Linked DNA regions of Stegostoma tigrinum. The protein of the gene in region 2 purifies or fractionates together with the protein of the main gene of each other region. This does not show direct contact. Links are inferred from orthologs where the notes say so. Each region holds a gene or a part of one and is shown on either strand. Other genes may lie near its edges.

Region 1 (7,863 bases), on a different chromosome or scaffold from region 2:
AATTAAATCAATTAAAGCCACCCCATCTATATATGTTTAACTGTATTGATACAATTAACACTCCAGTTATCTGGCTCTGTGGCAAATATTCCGTAACACTCTTGACTTGCACCTTGTAGGTGGTGGAGAGGTTTGGTGAGTCAGGCAGTGTGTTTCTCACGACAGAATTACTAGCCTCTGAACAGCTGCTGTCGTCTCAGCATTTGTGTGTCTAGTCTGTTAAGTTTTCTGATCAATGGTGACACCCAGGATTTTGAGACTTGAGAATTTACTTATGATAATGTAATTGAATATTAGGAGGAGATAGTCATTTTCTGCCATTTGTCTGGCATTAATATTATTTGTCATTTATAAACTCAAGCCAGAATTATGTGTCAAGTCAGTTTGCATGCAAACAGCGACTGCTTAATTGAATTGCAATCATCAGTGAATATATCCAGTTTTGGCTTTATTTTGGAAGGAATCTCAAGATGAATCGGCTGAAGATGGTTAAACTTAGGACATGAGAAAATTGGAGCTCTTATGGTGTAGTGATGGTGTCCCTACTTCAAAGGCAAGAGAATGGGTTAAAGTCCTACCTACTCCAGAGGTGTTTAATAACATTTATGAACAGATTGATTAGAAAATACCTATTAGATCTGACCAAGGATAATCAAAATAACCTTATGTGTGAGATGTGATCCCACCAGCGTGGAGTTTTCCTCCCTATTCCCATTGATTTAACTTCCTACTTGAGGCCCCACTTAGTCAAATACTGCCTTGTGTTGTCAAAGGCAGCTACTTACATTTCACTTCCACAATTCAGTCCATTTGTTGATTATCCAACCAAGGATATGCTGATGTCTGGAGCTGAGTGATTCTGGCCAACTCCTCAGTAACAGTAAACAGGTCACTGGTGAGTATCATCCCCTTTCATCACCTTGCTGATGATCAGGTGGAGGACAACAGGATGGTATGCTGGGTTGTAGGTGTCTTGCTTTTTAGTGAAAAGAATGTACCTTGGCAACTTTCCACTTCATTATATAAATGCCAGTGCTGGAGCACAAGACATTGTTAGTTCCATAGCCCTTATAGAATACAAACAATGGATTGTTTCTTGATATTATGGGGAGTAGAGTAAATTGATCAAGACTGGTTTCTATGATGTCGGGGATACCAAGCAGAGAGAACACTGGTTCACCCATTCGTTACTTTTGGTTGAAGATGGTGGTAAAATTCTCAGCCTTATCTCTCAGATTCATGTCCTGTACTCCATCATTAACAAGAATGGAGATGCTCATGGTATCTCCTCATCCTATTAACAATCCACCATTAATTGTAACTGGATATTGCAAGACATAAATATTTTGATCTGATTTATCATGATGGCATCACTTAGATCTCCTACTTAATAATGATGACATCCTATATTGTAGCTTCACCAGACTGATATCTTACTTTAGGTGTTAATGGTGCTGCTCCTCACATGTTCTCTTAAAATTGTCATTAAACTAGAGGTGATTCCCCAGCTTAATGGTAATGATAATAGGGGCAGCACGATGGCTAGTGCTGCTGCCTTACAGCAGCAGGAATCCGGGTTCAGCTTCAGCCTTAGGCAACTGTCTATGTGGAGTTTCGCATTCTCCCTTTGTCTGCATGGGTCTCCTCTGGGCACTCCAGTTTTATCCTACTGTCCAAAGATGTGCAGGTTAAGTGGATTTGTCATGCTAAATTGCCCATCGTGTCCAGGGATGTGCAAGCTAGCTGGAAATGTGGGGTTATGGGGATAAGTGTGTGTTTGGGTGGGATGCCCTTTGGTGGGTCAATGTGGACTCAGTGGGCCAAATGGCTTGCCCCCACTCTATACAGATTCTCATTCTATTCTGTGTGAGAGTGGGTAGTATGCTGGCCCATGGTGTTAGAGGCTGTGGTTGAACACAATTCTTCTGCTGCTGGTGGCCCACAGTGCTCCAGGAATCCTTTGCTTTGAGTTTGGTTTGGTCTGGTTTAAATCTACTTCATTCATGGTGGTAATGCCACACATTACAGAGGCTGTGTTCAGTGCCACATAAAGGCTGTTTAGGGATCAAAATAGATAGACTGGGGAAGTTTTCTTTTAAAAAAAAGCATTAGCTCTTGGGATGTGGACTTCACTGGTTGGACCAGCACTTATTGCCAATCTCTGATTGCCCTTGAGAATATGTGCTTTGCTGTATGCTGGTTTGCTGAAGTCCTTTGGGTATAGGAACACCATTGTCCTGTTAGGGAGTGAGTTCCAGGATTATAAACAGAGACACTGAAGGAACAGCAATTTTCTTCCACTGCAGGACTGTATGTGGCTTGAAGAGGAACATGCAGTTGGTGACTTTCCCAAACATCTGCTGCCCTTGTCTTTCTTAAGGTGACTGGTGGTGAGTTTCAATTAAGACCAAAGATTGTGAGTTTGGGAGGTGATATGTAAGGAGCTGTGTTGAGTTGCTGCAATGCATCTTATTTCAGAATTAGCAAGGCTAAAATAGATGCCATTTTGGCGACAGCCCCCTGCAAACAGTATTACTGGCTAAATTATTTGTAAAAAACACAGCTGCATCCTTAAGAGATCTAACCTGAGAACAACATTAAACCAGATGAGGTGATCTGCGACTTGCAAGAAGGCTTTAACAAGCTGTAAAGGAACGCTTTGCACACATCTTCAACTGGTCGATCCGAGGTACTTCTGGGAATTTGCGAAATACATGTAATGTCTGTTCGGAGCTGAGTTGGATCAATGGCCACGGGAAGGAACAGCTTGTTCTTTTTAATCTCAGCTGCAAGACATTCCACTGGTTTACTGGCATACCAAGTGACTGAAAGATTTTTTTTATAAAACGTAGTCTGGGCATCGCAGATAATACACTGGATCTGTCGACACGCGTTTCGGCATGTATTCAGATCATAATTCAGTTTTGTTTGAATTCACTCCGCGTCAAAATCGCGAGTTTGCTGCGAATGGAGCGCTGTGCTTCAGCTGTTCATCGCAAGGCTAGGAAGACGAGTCAGCCTCACCCCCGAGTGGCCTGTGGGGGGGGGGTTAACTCACAGGAATACCCCTGAGATTCTCTTCAGAACATTCATGTGACAGATTCCACGCTGTCGTGACTGTATGTAGGTGGAGAGAAGCAAGACTCATTCTCCTGCTAAATGTCAATTAATTTGTTGTCTCAGTATATATACAAAGCTACACTGAAGCTCAAAGATAAATGATACCTGCTTGTGACATGTCGACTTTCTGGAAGGGGCATTTCGACATTAATTTCCAGCGTTCAAGTCAATATGACAGCATGGGTGGCAAGTATCAGTAATCTATTTGCCTGTAAGTATGCCTGCTAACTCTGGCATACTCAGGTAGGGAAAGGGATATTGAGGATTATTAGGATGATTTTTATCGCTGCCCAAACTGGGGCTAGCTAACAGAAAATGGGCATTGACCTGGGACGATTCAGGTATGCGTCATTCACTCGGTACCGCACTGTGCGCTTTTGATCAAGAGGCGATCTACTTCACACACCCTTTCTCGTCTCCTCAAAAAATATTAACGGAGTGATGTTCCATAAATAGAACCACGGGTATAAATGCAAAATTGCAATCGAAATAAATTAACCATGAAGTCGTGTTGTTTTATTAATGTCACCATTCAAAAATACGAGGCTACATTTCCACTCACTATCGCCTGAGACCGTCGCCCCACCAATCCCAGACCAACAGAGTATGTGCCAGAATGTAACTCGTTAAAACTGTATGCCACGCTAGTTGATGAGAAATGAAGCGAAGAGCCGCTTGTCACACGATGTCTGTAAAACCGTTCTTTCGTCGCTGCAAGTGCTGTTAGAAGAATCAAAGCACCGTATCACCCTTCTGGCCAGAATAAAAAAAAGTCAATGAGAAGATACTTTTAGCCGCAAATGTCAATGCATGTCCTAAACCATTATTCGCTGCGGCTTTTCCGGTTTTGATTGCAGCGGTCGGGGGATATCAAGTAAATTTTTGCTCCTCCAGTGACATTTATTTGAGCGTTCAAGTTCAGTTGTGGGCTTTTCTCTATCGTTTATGTAACCGTGCGGCTCTGCAAACGGGCTCAATAGGGGGCAAGCCCATTCTGTCACAGCGTCTGTGTACTTTAGTGTGTTTGTGGGTCATCTTCATTCGAAACAACTCTTTTTGCCTTCTACTGCTGTTTGGAAGGTGTGCGAATGAAACAGGTATCCGCAATTCAAAAAGAAACATAAATAAAACATCACAGAGACACACGCACAGCCTTTTCTCCCTCCAATCTCAAAATAATCAGTGAGCAATATAGGTCAGTGTTCAGGGACGCAATGAAGGGAGGTTTCGAGTTGTGTTTTGGGTTCTTATGGGCGAGGAGAGGAAGAAGGAGAGTCTGGATCCTTGATGAAAAGTTTGGCAACTCTCGCAAAAAAAATCTATCTAATCTAAGGACTATGATTCTGTTAAAGGGAGCAACACAACAAAAAGACGTCTCGAGAAAATCAGAACAAGATACGAAAGAAACCTCAATTGTGTAATACTTGCATATACAGCAAGCGTGTTACAAAGAAAAGTACACACACAGGGAACCCCATCAGGTTCTAGATGGCGACCACTCGCTTGGCAACAAGAGTTTCTGCGGTTCTCGGTTATTTGGGCCTCGGGTTTAGATGAAGGGAGGAGATGGGCGTGATTGACGGTTTCCCTTCGCAACAGGCTCGGCCCCATTAATCGGTGCAGCATCCGGGGGATTGCGGCTGGCAACATCCTCAACGGCGCCTGGCCCCGCCTTTCCCCTTGCTGACGTCAAGGGCTCATCCGGGGCACCCGCTGTGATTGACAGTCCCCATAGCAACGCGCTCCGTCCGCCGCCATTTTGTTGTTAAGAGGAGAGAGAAGAGAGAGAAAAAAATTTTTTCAGGGCTTTCCCGCCTCGGAAATTTTTTTTTATCCGCGGGGAGGGGGTATTTTTTTTTGTCTCTCAACTCTACCTTTCTCACCTTAGCCCCTCTTTATCCCTCACTCACCCACTCCCTCCTTACCACCACCTTCCCTAACCTCCTCCTCCTCCGTTCTGATTTTTTTTCCCTCCTCCCTCGAAGGCGAGATCGGGAGATTCGGAGAGCGGGAGGAGAAAGTTGAATGGTCGGTGCGGCCGGAGAAGTCGGTCTGGCGAGCGGCGCAAGGAGGTGTAAAGCGGGTTTGAAAAAAGGCGGCGCCGAGGAGGTGTTTGCTGTTGCGCAGGTTTGTAGTGCGCGCCATTTTGTGAAATAAAAAAAGAGAGGGGGAAAAGACCGAGTGAGAGGAGGAAAGGTGGGGAGGGGGCTGGTCACAGGCACAGTTTGATCCTGAAGAGTCACTCACATCGAGGGGACAGCAGGCAGCTCGGGGGAGGCGGGGGTTGAGGCGATTCTGAATTCTCACACTTGAGATTTATTTATTATTTTCTTTCACACCATCTCCTTCATTCCTCTCCCCTCCCTTCCCCGTAACACCGCCCCTCGCCCAGAAAGGAGGGGACAGTAAACCCAAGCGGCGGCAGCGGCTTCTCAGCAACGAGAGCGGCCTGGGTGACAGAGGGAGGGAGAGAGATAGAAGAGAAATCGGGGAGAGGTTTGTCTTGACTTTCGTTCTAATTCATCAGCCACTTAATTCTATGTTCTCACCCCCCCCCCCCCCAGCGGCCTGACACTTATTTAAGACGTTGTTATAATTTGGTTGGCGGTCTCTTCTTAAAACAGTGTTATTAACATAAGGAGCTGAGAGAGGAAGATGGACTCTTTTTGACAGTGTTACTGCGCTGAACGTGTTAAAGTATATGTTGCATATCCGAGTGTCAGCCACAGGGCACAGCAATTTAGCAGGAATTAGAAACGTTAAGCATGTCATTTTCATCTGTGTATGACAGTTGTGCTATTTCAGTGATCTGGAGAAATTTTGTTAAGGCATGTAGCGTTTGTTTAGCCAGTACATGATGCACAATTCATGTCAGCATTGATACCCAGTCTTTAGTTAGACAGTGTGGTTTCCTTTTATTTTCCTTTGCTTTTGTCACATACAAGTAAAAGAAGATTGTTCTTTTGCAACATTGTGATTCGGATGGTGCCTGCCAACAAAACATGTTGGACTGTAACACATGCAATGCAAAGCCAAACACAGCAAATATTCTGAAAAAACGTTATTTATTTAAAAATGTTCTTTCTATGCAAAGAGTGGATAGACATTAAACTTTCAGATCTGAGTAGTACCATTCTTCTTGAACTGCTTTTCTAGCCGCAAAGCGCGAGATTTTTAATTCTAAAAACTGCAGTTGTTAAATTTTGTGCCGAATAAAACAAAACTTTAACCTGAAATGTGCAGGTGTCCAGTCCAATGCCCAATGTTAAACATATCAAATTGTGGCATTGCACTAATTTGCAGTGTGTTACTAAACTGGTACATCTAACAGCAGTCCAGAACATCGGTGAACAAATTAATGACAATTATGTGAGTGGCTTGATGAATATTTTGAGAACACAATGTAGACTAAGTTGTATGTTATTTTGGTCAAGTAAAAAGAGTTTTATTTAGATTGTATTGCCAGTGTCATCCTCAATAAATGAAATGTCAGTTGCCCCTAATTACGTTTTGGGGTTAAACTTTTTATCATCCAATGCAGATTTAGGCCTGGATCTTCAACGAGTTTCTGTTGATCTCAGTAAAGGGATCCTTCCAAAAATATCTTTGACATCGCTTTGTTTTCAATACTTAGACTTCAGAAAAATATTCTGTACCAAACTGATACTTTGACTTCACCATAAAATATCAGTTGGTCTGATTGGAATTTAGTTGTTTAGTCATGTGGTATTTTAAAGCCTGTAGAGTTGAAATACTGGGGCAAAAGTTCAGTTTTTGTGACAAGATCTATATAGGAAAAAGAAGTGTATTGTTGATTGAATTCTTTGAGCTTTCCAACTAATATCCAAATAAGTCCAGTAAAAATCTGCTCCAGGCTCTGTATGCTGTTCAGGTACTTTGGTATTTTGATTTCTGACTTGTATTTTATACATGTGATTGTGCCAGATTTAGTCATTGCATAACACTCACCTAAATCATAGATGTGTGTGTTCAGCGCCATTCCAAAGACCTAAGCAGGTAATCTTGGTTGTTGGATTAGTGCTTGTGCCCTGCTCTGTTTTGGATGTGACAAGAAGTCAAGACCCTGTTTGTTCTCTCAAATGATTGTTACAGATCCCATGCTACTTCAAGGAAGACTAGGCACTTTGCCAGATCTCCTGACCATCGATTATGCATCAACCAGTATTGTAAACAATGGTATGGTGCATCATTTCATTGCTAATTAAGGGATCTAGCTGTGTAAATTAGCTGCCAAATTTTTCTGCAACACTGCTGTTTTAAAGCAGTGTGACATTGACTTTGTGGAAGTATGACGTAAGAATATGATTGCAGTATAATTTGATTTAGAGAGTTCAAAACATAGGCTGGTAAAAGTTCATTTTTTATAAATTAATCAGTTTATTCTGATTTTAAAAGCCGCAGGAGAGATATATTTACTATACAAATATGGTAGTTTGTGTTCCTGAAAGTGAAGTTCATATATGTTAACTGTGTTCCAGGTTCTGCTTTCCTGTTGGTCTTCTTACCGACCTTCATTGCTCCCTTTTCATCTATATCTGAATTTAAGGAACTTTTTTTTCTGATAAAGTCCCTCCATGAGCTTGATTCTCCTGAGCCCAACAACCAGATTGGGTACTTGTCCCTTATCCTTGCTCTAAACACCCAGTTCTAACACTGTACCCTTTCATCTCAGCACGAAATACCCATTTCTGCCGCTGCATTCTGGAAGGCTGTTGTTACACT
Region 2 (7,817 bases):
GGCAGTTAGACACACCACTGTTCTGCCATTCTGACATTCCAATTACTTAATCTGAACTATCAACATCTTTTCTCCCCCAGCACTCTCCACCCTACCACCCCAACACCCTTCCCCCCACCCAACTTTAGCATAAATGCTGACCCCTCCACACTTCACTTCACCTCTGAAGAAGAATCAGAGTGATTCAGAATGAAAGCAGGTCCTTTGGCCCAAACTGGACCAGCTTTCCCTGGATCCCATGCGATCTAACACTCATGGCTAGTTTGCTGAGTGGGACCTTGTAAAGGCCTTACTAATTTCCATACAGACCACATCCACTGCCTCATCCTCATCCATCTCTTGCATACCTCTTGGAAAAACTCAAAGATTTGACAGACAAGATTCCGGAGAATACATCCATGCGGATTATCCCAAATCAGAAACTGACTATCCAAATGTTGGTTGATCCTGTCCCTCAGTATCCTCTGCTATACCCTGCCTACCACTGATGTCACACTCACTGGCCCTTAGTTCCCTGACTTGTCTTTGCTACTTTTCTTTGACAAAAGAACAACATTAGCCACCCTCTAGTCAGAGATATACAGCACAGAAACAGACCCTCCAGTCCAACTCATCCATGCTGACTAGTTATCCTATATAAACCTAGTTCCATTTACCAGCATTTTCCCTCGAAACCCTTCCTATTCATTTACCCATCCAGATGCCTCGGCAGCTCATTACATACACGCGCCACCCTCCGTGAGAAAAAGTAGCTCCTTAGGTCCCTTTTATGTCTTTCCCCTCTCACCTTAAACCAATGCTCTCTAGTTTTGGACTCCCCCAACCTGGGGAAAAGACCTTGCCTGTTCCCCCGATCCATGCTCCTCATGATTGTATAAGCCTCCATAAGGTCATACCTCAGCCTCTGACACTCCAGGGAACATAGCCCCAGACTATTCAGCATCTCCCTCTAGCTCAAACCCTCCAACCATGGCAACATCCTCATAAATCTTCTCTGAACACATTCTAATTCACAATATCCTTCCTTTGGGAGGGAGACCAGAACAGCATGCAATACTCCAAATGTGAACTAACCAATGTCCTGTACAGCTGTGACATGGCCTCCCAATTCCCCTGCTCAATGCACTGATCAATAAGGGCAAACATACCAAACACCTTCTTCACTCCACCTTCAAACAGGTCATACCTACTACTCGTGTCCACGCATCACCACCATTCTGTTTCCACTCCTCCACACCCCTCCCCTAAACCCATATCCAGTCCTCAAGAGGGGTAATAACCAAAACGCTAGCAGCTCCTTTCCTCCAGATGCTGCCTGGCTGACTGTGTTCTTCCAGCCTCCTGTTTGTCTCCCTTCTTCACTGCCCTAACTACCTGAAAATTCACCTTCAAGGAATATGAAACTACACTCCAAGATCTCTTTACTCAGCAACACTCCCCACACCTGGAGTTGAAATGTTAGCTTGCTTGGTCTTCATGGATGTTGTCGATTCAGTGTGATTTCCAGCATTTGGTGTTTTCTGTCTAAGCTGTTGCTCAAGAAGTCTCCAGACGAGACTGACGTGCTCAACTCTTTAGGACTGAACCTTGTACATTTTTTTGTCTTGCAGCAGTAGAGTCCCTACTCCTCAGCTATAAGGTTTGTTTTCAAGAATCACTTGTCATAACATGTCTTAAAAGGTTGATCAAAATAACTAGGTGTAGTGAGTCACATGGAGCAGGTCTTCATGTCTGATCCCACCATTAGCCCATTTTTCACTGAGGCCCCTCCCGATAGTATTCCATCCTTGGCAACTTTCTGAAGCAGAGCAGCCCGTTCTTGGCGAATTGGGCAATGTGTTACTACTCCCAGAGCATCCCACAGTCCATTAATTAACTAAATTTCCCTTTTGAAAATAAATCTTGCCCTACATTTCTTGTAAACGATTGTGCACGGTCTGCTCACTTTTACTCTCGGATTTCATAGCCGCCTGACTCAGGTCACTTCAAAGCAGCAGCCCCTCCCAACAAAAAAAAATCAATATTTCAGGCACATAAAAACCGGCAAGGAAACGAGTAAAAAGCGGTCATAGTCTCAACTTTACTCTTTCATCAAAGAGACAGTTTAATTTCCTCAGCTTAATCCCCGGAAAGGAGGATTTTATGGTGGGGTGGGGGAAGACAGAGGGGCGATCGTTGTTACCTGACGTGACCTCTTTTATAAATATATAAACCACTGGAGGAGGTGCTGTAGCATCAGTTCAAAACAATGACAATTGCTGCAACAACAGAACAATATTCAGGAACAATTGCTATGGAAAAAAAATGGACAAACTCGAGGGGTTTTTTTTTCTTTTAAAGCCAGCGGTGCTAATGGTGCAGTGCAGCCAACCCTTCTCCGCTTTCCAGAAATGGCAATGAAGAAGTTGAGAGTGTCCTTTAAGTCACATCACGTACACAAGCCGCTTACATCACCGAGGCAACTGGCCAAAAACTTAACCTCACATACATGTGACAGCCCCAGTGGAATAAACCATGCATTACCTGCTGCATCCAACCTATGCGTTTCCTTGTCCCCATCAGAGCTGTGGCATCCTTTTTCTTGTACGAAATGCACACATCGTGCAGGGAAAAATGTACGCGCAACTTACAACCCCTGCAAACCGATCCGATTCCCTACCTCAATAACTGTGCATATATTTCACACCTCTTCAGACCTTCCACCTATCACAGCTTTGCAGCCGTTTCCGAATCGGAGTTTCGCCGCTCAACTTGGGAACAACTTAAATCTCCTGCAAAGCTGTCACACATTGGAGCAGATGTTCCCAAGACACGGTCTTTTTGTTGGGGGGGGGGGCGAAGAAGGGAAGGTTGGGGTTATTATTAGAAGGACCAGACCACTCACCGTTCATTGTGCTGACAGTAGCTGAGGGCTCGGCCGGGGGAAGGAGAGGAGAGCACCAGGGGGTTTATTACAGATCTCACCGCGCTGGGTTTGTTCGGGAAAGGATTAGAAGCAGCCGCCTCCTCTCACTTCGTCGCTGCTGCTGCTGCTCGGGGTACAGCCTCCTGGCAGCACGCAGCCTATCAGCGACAGCTCGCCGTTCACCGGCAGAGCACCTCCTCCTGCTCAGTGTTCACCCCTCCTGCAAACTGCGAAAGACAGCTCCATCGTTTACATATGTTCCTCCAGAAACCCACTTTCACGAAGTGCACATTGATTTTAATTCCGGCAATGGCACTGGACGAACCTGAACAAGGGTCCCGAAACGTTAATCTTGCTTTCTGTCCACAGTTGCTGCCAGACCTGCAGAGATCTTCCAGCAGTTTCTGCAGCCCACCTCTCACTGTGGTCGGTGTTCTCACTGACTCCCTAACCCCAAAGCATCTCAATTCCATGAACTCGTTCTCCTTTGTAGGTAATAGTCTTCTATGGCATGTATGTCCTTTCTTAGATAAGCGATCAAAAGTATACACAATACTTAACGCAAGATCTCACCAAGGTTCCGTACAACTGTAGCAAGACGTGTGTCGTTCTGCACTTAATTCCCCTTTCAATGAAGTTCAACATACTATGTGCTTTTCTAATTGCTTGTTTCGGCCACATGCTAACTTTTAGAGATTCAGGAATGAGATCACCTGCACTTCTCAGCCTCTCACCATTCAACAAGTGTCTATTTTCTTTCCCAATGTGAATAACTTCACATGATATTTTCTTTGCCATGTTGTAGCTTAATGATTTAGCACGCAAGTCTTCCTGAAGCCTTGCTACAATGTTACTCACAACTTACATGCCACAGCCCATAACTACATCACATGTGGATGTTTTAAATTCAGTCAGTTCAAACACGTTATGTCACATCTCTGGAGCAGGTGAGAATTGAAGCCAGGCCTCCTGGCTCAGAAGTAGGGGCACGACCACTGTGTTATAAGAGCTGTACATATTGTACTCAAAGCGTGCATTAGTGCACCTGACTTGGCATCAAATTGTGGTGGATATCTTAACCTGTTCGACATGTTATGACATACCTGTGGAGCAAGTGGAATTTGAACTAGGTCTTCTTCCTTAGAGGTTGGTAGGGATACTATGGACTGCTTCACTGAGGCTCCGAACATTTATAACCTCCATCCGCGAGATTCAAACTGACTTGCAGGGACCCAATGGATTTCAAATCCATCATCTTAACTACTCGACCATGACTGGCTATGGCTATAGGTTGCTTAATTTGCAGAACCAAACTCAGCTCCAATTGCTTGATGTTAGAAATTACCCAATTTTTTTTTAATTAACCTGTTCAGAAATGTTATTCCACATCTGAAGCAGGTGGGGCTTGAACCCAGGTTCCTCGATCCAAGGATAGCGACACTACCAGTACGCAACAAGAGGGCCTCAAATGCACCCAGTTTTGTGGAATTAGTATAATTAAAAATATTACAATGTCCCCAAAATCTAAATCAGTTCTATAGATTTTGAATTCTGTGGACCTAGCACGAATCATTGTGGCACCCATGAGTAACAGCCCGCCTTTCTGACAATGATCCATTTATTCCTACTCTCTGCTTTGTTTTTTGATTTTGTTTTATAGTGCAAATTGCTTGTGAAACTTCTCAGAATGGTTTATTACATTAAAAAATGCACTATTTACATGTGTTGTTACCATAGCTATGATTCATAACGTTTGGACAATATTTCTCCGAGGTAATGTTGTAATAATAGACCAATTTTCAGTTACAGCTCATCGCACTCACTTCTCATTCATTTTCAAAAACACTTCATATGGCAGTCTTGATTACACTTTTTAATCATGAAGGAAGTGATTTTCTCCCTATGTTAATGGACACAAATCTGAAATATGGTTATATACTCATTTATAATTTCATTACAGACAACAAAAAAAATTATGGTCATAATTACTACCTACAATTTACAGACTGGAATAGAGAGATGAGCCATAAAATGCAGTGGGATGGAAATCCTGCTCACTCACCTAGGCCAGGCTTTAGCCCTCTCCTTTTGTTTTCTTTATTCATTCATGGGATGTGGATGTCACTGGCTAGGCCAGCATTTACTGCCCATCTCTAATTGCCAAGAGGGCAGTTAAGAATCAACCACATTGCTGTGGATCTGGAGTCACATGTAGGCCAGACCAGGTAAGGATGGCAGTTTCCTTCACTGAAGAATATTACTGAACCAGATGGATTTTTCCAACACTCATAGAACATAAAACAATACAGCACAGAACATGCCCTTTGGCCCTCAAAGTTGTGCTGACCTGTGAATTAATCTAAGCCCTCCCCCTATACTAACCCATCATCATCCATCTGCTTATCCAAGGACTGTTTAAATGCCCCTAATGTGGCTGAGTTAACTACATTGGCAGGCAGGATGTTAAACGCCTTTAACACTCTCTGAGTAAAGAACCTGCCTCTGACATCTGTCTTAAATCTATCACCCCTCAATTTGGAGCTATTCCCCCTCATACAAGCTGACATCATCATCCTCAGAAAAAGACTCTCACTGTCCACCCTACCTAATCCTCTGATTATCTTGTATGTCCCTATTAAATTCCCTCTTAGCCTTCTTCTCTTCAATGAGAACAGACCCAAGTCCCTCCACCTTTCTTCATAGGCCTTCGCTCCAGACCAGGCAACATCCTGGTAAATCTTCTCTGCACCTTTCCACTGCTTCCACATCCTTCCTGTAATGGGGCAACCAGAACTGCACGCAATATTCCAAGTGAGGCCAAGTGAGGGGTACTAATTTCCTGGGTGGGAAATTTGCTAGTGCTATTCGGGTGGACTTAATGCTCAGCAGGGGGGTGGGAAACTGTGGTGTAGTTCCAGTACACAGGAAGATGAGCGTAGGGAGGATATGGACTGGACCTCTCTGACGCAGGAGTGTGCTGGCAGACAGCAAGCCGGTTTGAAGTGTGTCTACTTCAATGCCAGGAGTATCCGGAATAAGGTAGGTGAGCTTGCAGCTTGGATAGATACCTGGGACTTCGATGTTGTGGCCATTTCAGAGACATGGAAAGAGCAGGGTCAGGAATGGATATTGCAGGTTCCAGGGTTTAGATCTTTCATTAAGATCAGGGAAGGTGGTAAAAGAGGGGGAGGTGTGGCTTTGTTAGTCAAGGACAGTATAACGGTGGCTGAAAGAACTTTTGATGAAGACTCATCTACTGAGGTGGTATGGGCTGAGGTCAGAAACAGGAGAGGAGAGGCCACACAGCTGGGAGTTTTTTATAGGCCTCCGCAAAGTTCCAAGGATGTGGAGGAGAGGATCGGCAAAACGATTCTGGGCAGGAGTGAAAGGAACTGGGCGGTTATTATGGGAGACTTTAACTTCCCTAACATTGACTGGAATTGCTATAACTCTAGTACGTCAGATGGATCAGATTTTGTCCAATGTGTGCAGGACGGTTTCCTGACTCAGTATGTCGAAGGGCCGACAAGAGGGGAGGCTACGCTGGATCTGGTACTTGGTAACGAACCAGGCCAGGTGTTTGATTTAGTGGTAGGTGAGCACTTTGGAGAGAGTGACCATAATTTTGTTACGTTTAGTTTAGCGAAGGAAAGGGATAGGAACATGCCACAGGGCAAGAGTTATAGATGGGCGAAGAGCAATTATAATGCGATTAGACAAGACATAGGAGGCATAGAATGGGGTAGCAAAATGCAGGGGATGGGGACAATCGAAATGTGGAGCTGGTTTAAAGGAAAGATATTGCGTGTCCTTGATAGGTATGTCCCTGTCAGGCAGGGAGGAAGTGATAAGGTAAGGGAACCGTGGTTTACTAAAGAAATTGTATCTCTTGTTAAGCGGAAGAGGGAGGCTTATGTGACAATGAGACGAGATGGTTCAGATGAGGCGATGGAGAGTTACAGATTAGCTCGGAAGGATTTAAAGAGAGAGTTAAGAAGAGCAAGGAGGGGACATGAGCAGACATTAGCAGGCAGAATAAAGGAGAACCCTAAAGCTTTCTATAGGTATGTGAGGAATAAGAGGATGACTAGGGTAGGAATAGGGCCAGTCAAAGACAGAAGTGGGAAGTTGTGTGTGGACCCTGTAGAGAGCGGAGAGGTGCTAAACAAATATTTCTCATCTGTTTTCACTCAGGAAAAGGAGAGTATTGTAGAGGAGAAGACTGAGTTACGGGCTACTAGAATTGAAAGGATTAAGGTTAGTAAGGAGGAGGTGTTATCAATTCTAGAAGGTGTGAAGGTAGATAAATCCCCTGGGCCGGATAGGATTTTTCCGAGGATTGTCTGGGAAGCTAGGGAGGATGTGGCGGAGCCTTTGACCTTGATCTTTGAGTCCTCATTGTCTACAGGCTTAGTACCAGAGGACTGGAGGATTGCAAATGTTGTGCCCTTGTTCAAGAAGGGCAGTAGAGATGACCCAGGTAATTATAGACCTGTGAGCCTTATGTCTGTTGTAGGAAAAGTTTTGGAAAGGATTATAAGAGATAGGATTTACAATGGATTCAATCGACAATGGATTCACAGTCATCATTACATTCTTAATTCCAGATATTTATTGAATTCAAATTCCACCATCTGCTGTGGCAGGATTTGAACCCGGGTCTGCAGAACATTGCCTGGGTTTCTGGATTAACCATCCAGGATAACACCACTCGGCCATCATCTCCTCTAAAGACTGATACAGGATCTGTATTAGATAGGCACCACTGGTGCATCCACTGCATGAGTCTAGTTGGAGCTCAGTGGGTGGGAGTGAATGGTCTGATCTTGGTAAATGCAGGCCAATTTGTTGTTCCTCAGAGGAATTGTTAAAGCAGAGTGTTGATACACCAATGATAATTGACTCCTTTCCA

What was found.
Region 1: the proteins of leucine zipper putative tumor suppressor 3 (region 2) and dyrk1aa purify together in Homo sapiens (affinity purification with mass spectrometry; 3 studies listed by BioGRID and IntAct, with this or other methods). This does not show direct contact. The link is inferred for Stegostoma tigrinum from reciprocal best matches to the Homo sapiens genes LZTS3 and DYRK1A.

What each region holds. Positions count from the first base shown.
Region 1 is NC_081365.1:17,522,359-17,530,221, forward strand, and holds the start of dyrk1aa (dual specificity tyrosine-phosphorylation-regulated kinase 1A), read left to right. Parts: upstream 1-4,852; 5' UTR 4,853-5,247; intron 5,248-5,440; exon of another isoform or gene 5,441-5,616; intron 5,617-7,863. UniProt on the Homo sapiens protein: Dual-specificity kinase which possesses both serine/threonine and tyrosine kinase activities. Exhibits a substrate preference for proline at position P+1 and arginine at position P-3.
Region 2 is NC_081354.1:169,586,174-169,593,990, reverse strand, and holds the start of leucine zipper putative tumor suppressor 3, read right to left. Parts: upstream 3,008-7,817; 5' UTR 2,885-3,007; intron 1-2,884. UniProt on the Homo sapiens protein: May be involved in promoting the maturation of dendritic spines, probably via regulating SIPA1L1 levels at the postsynaptic density of synapses.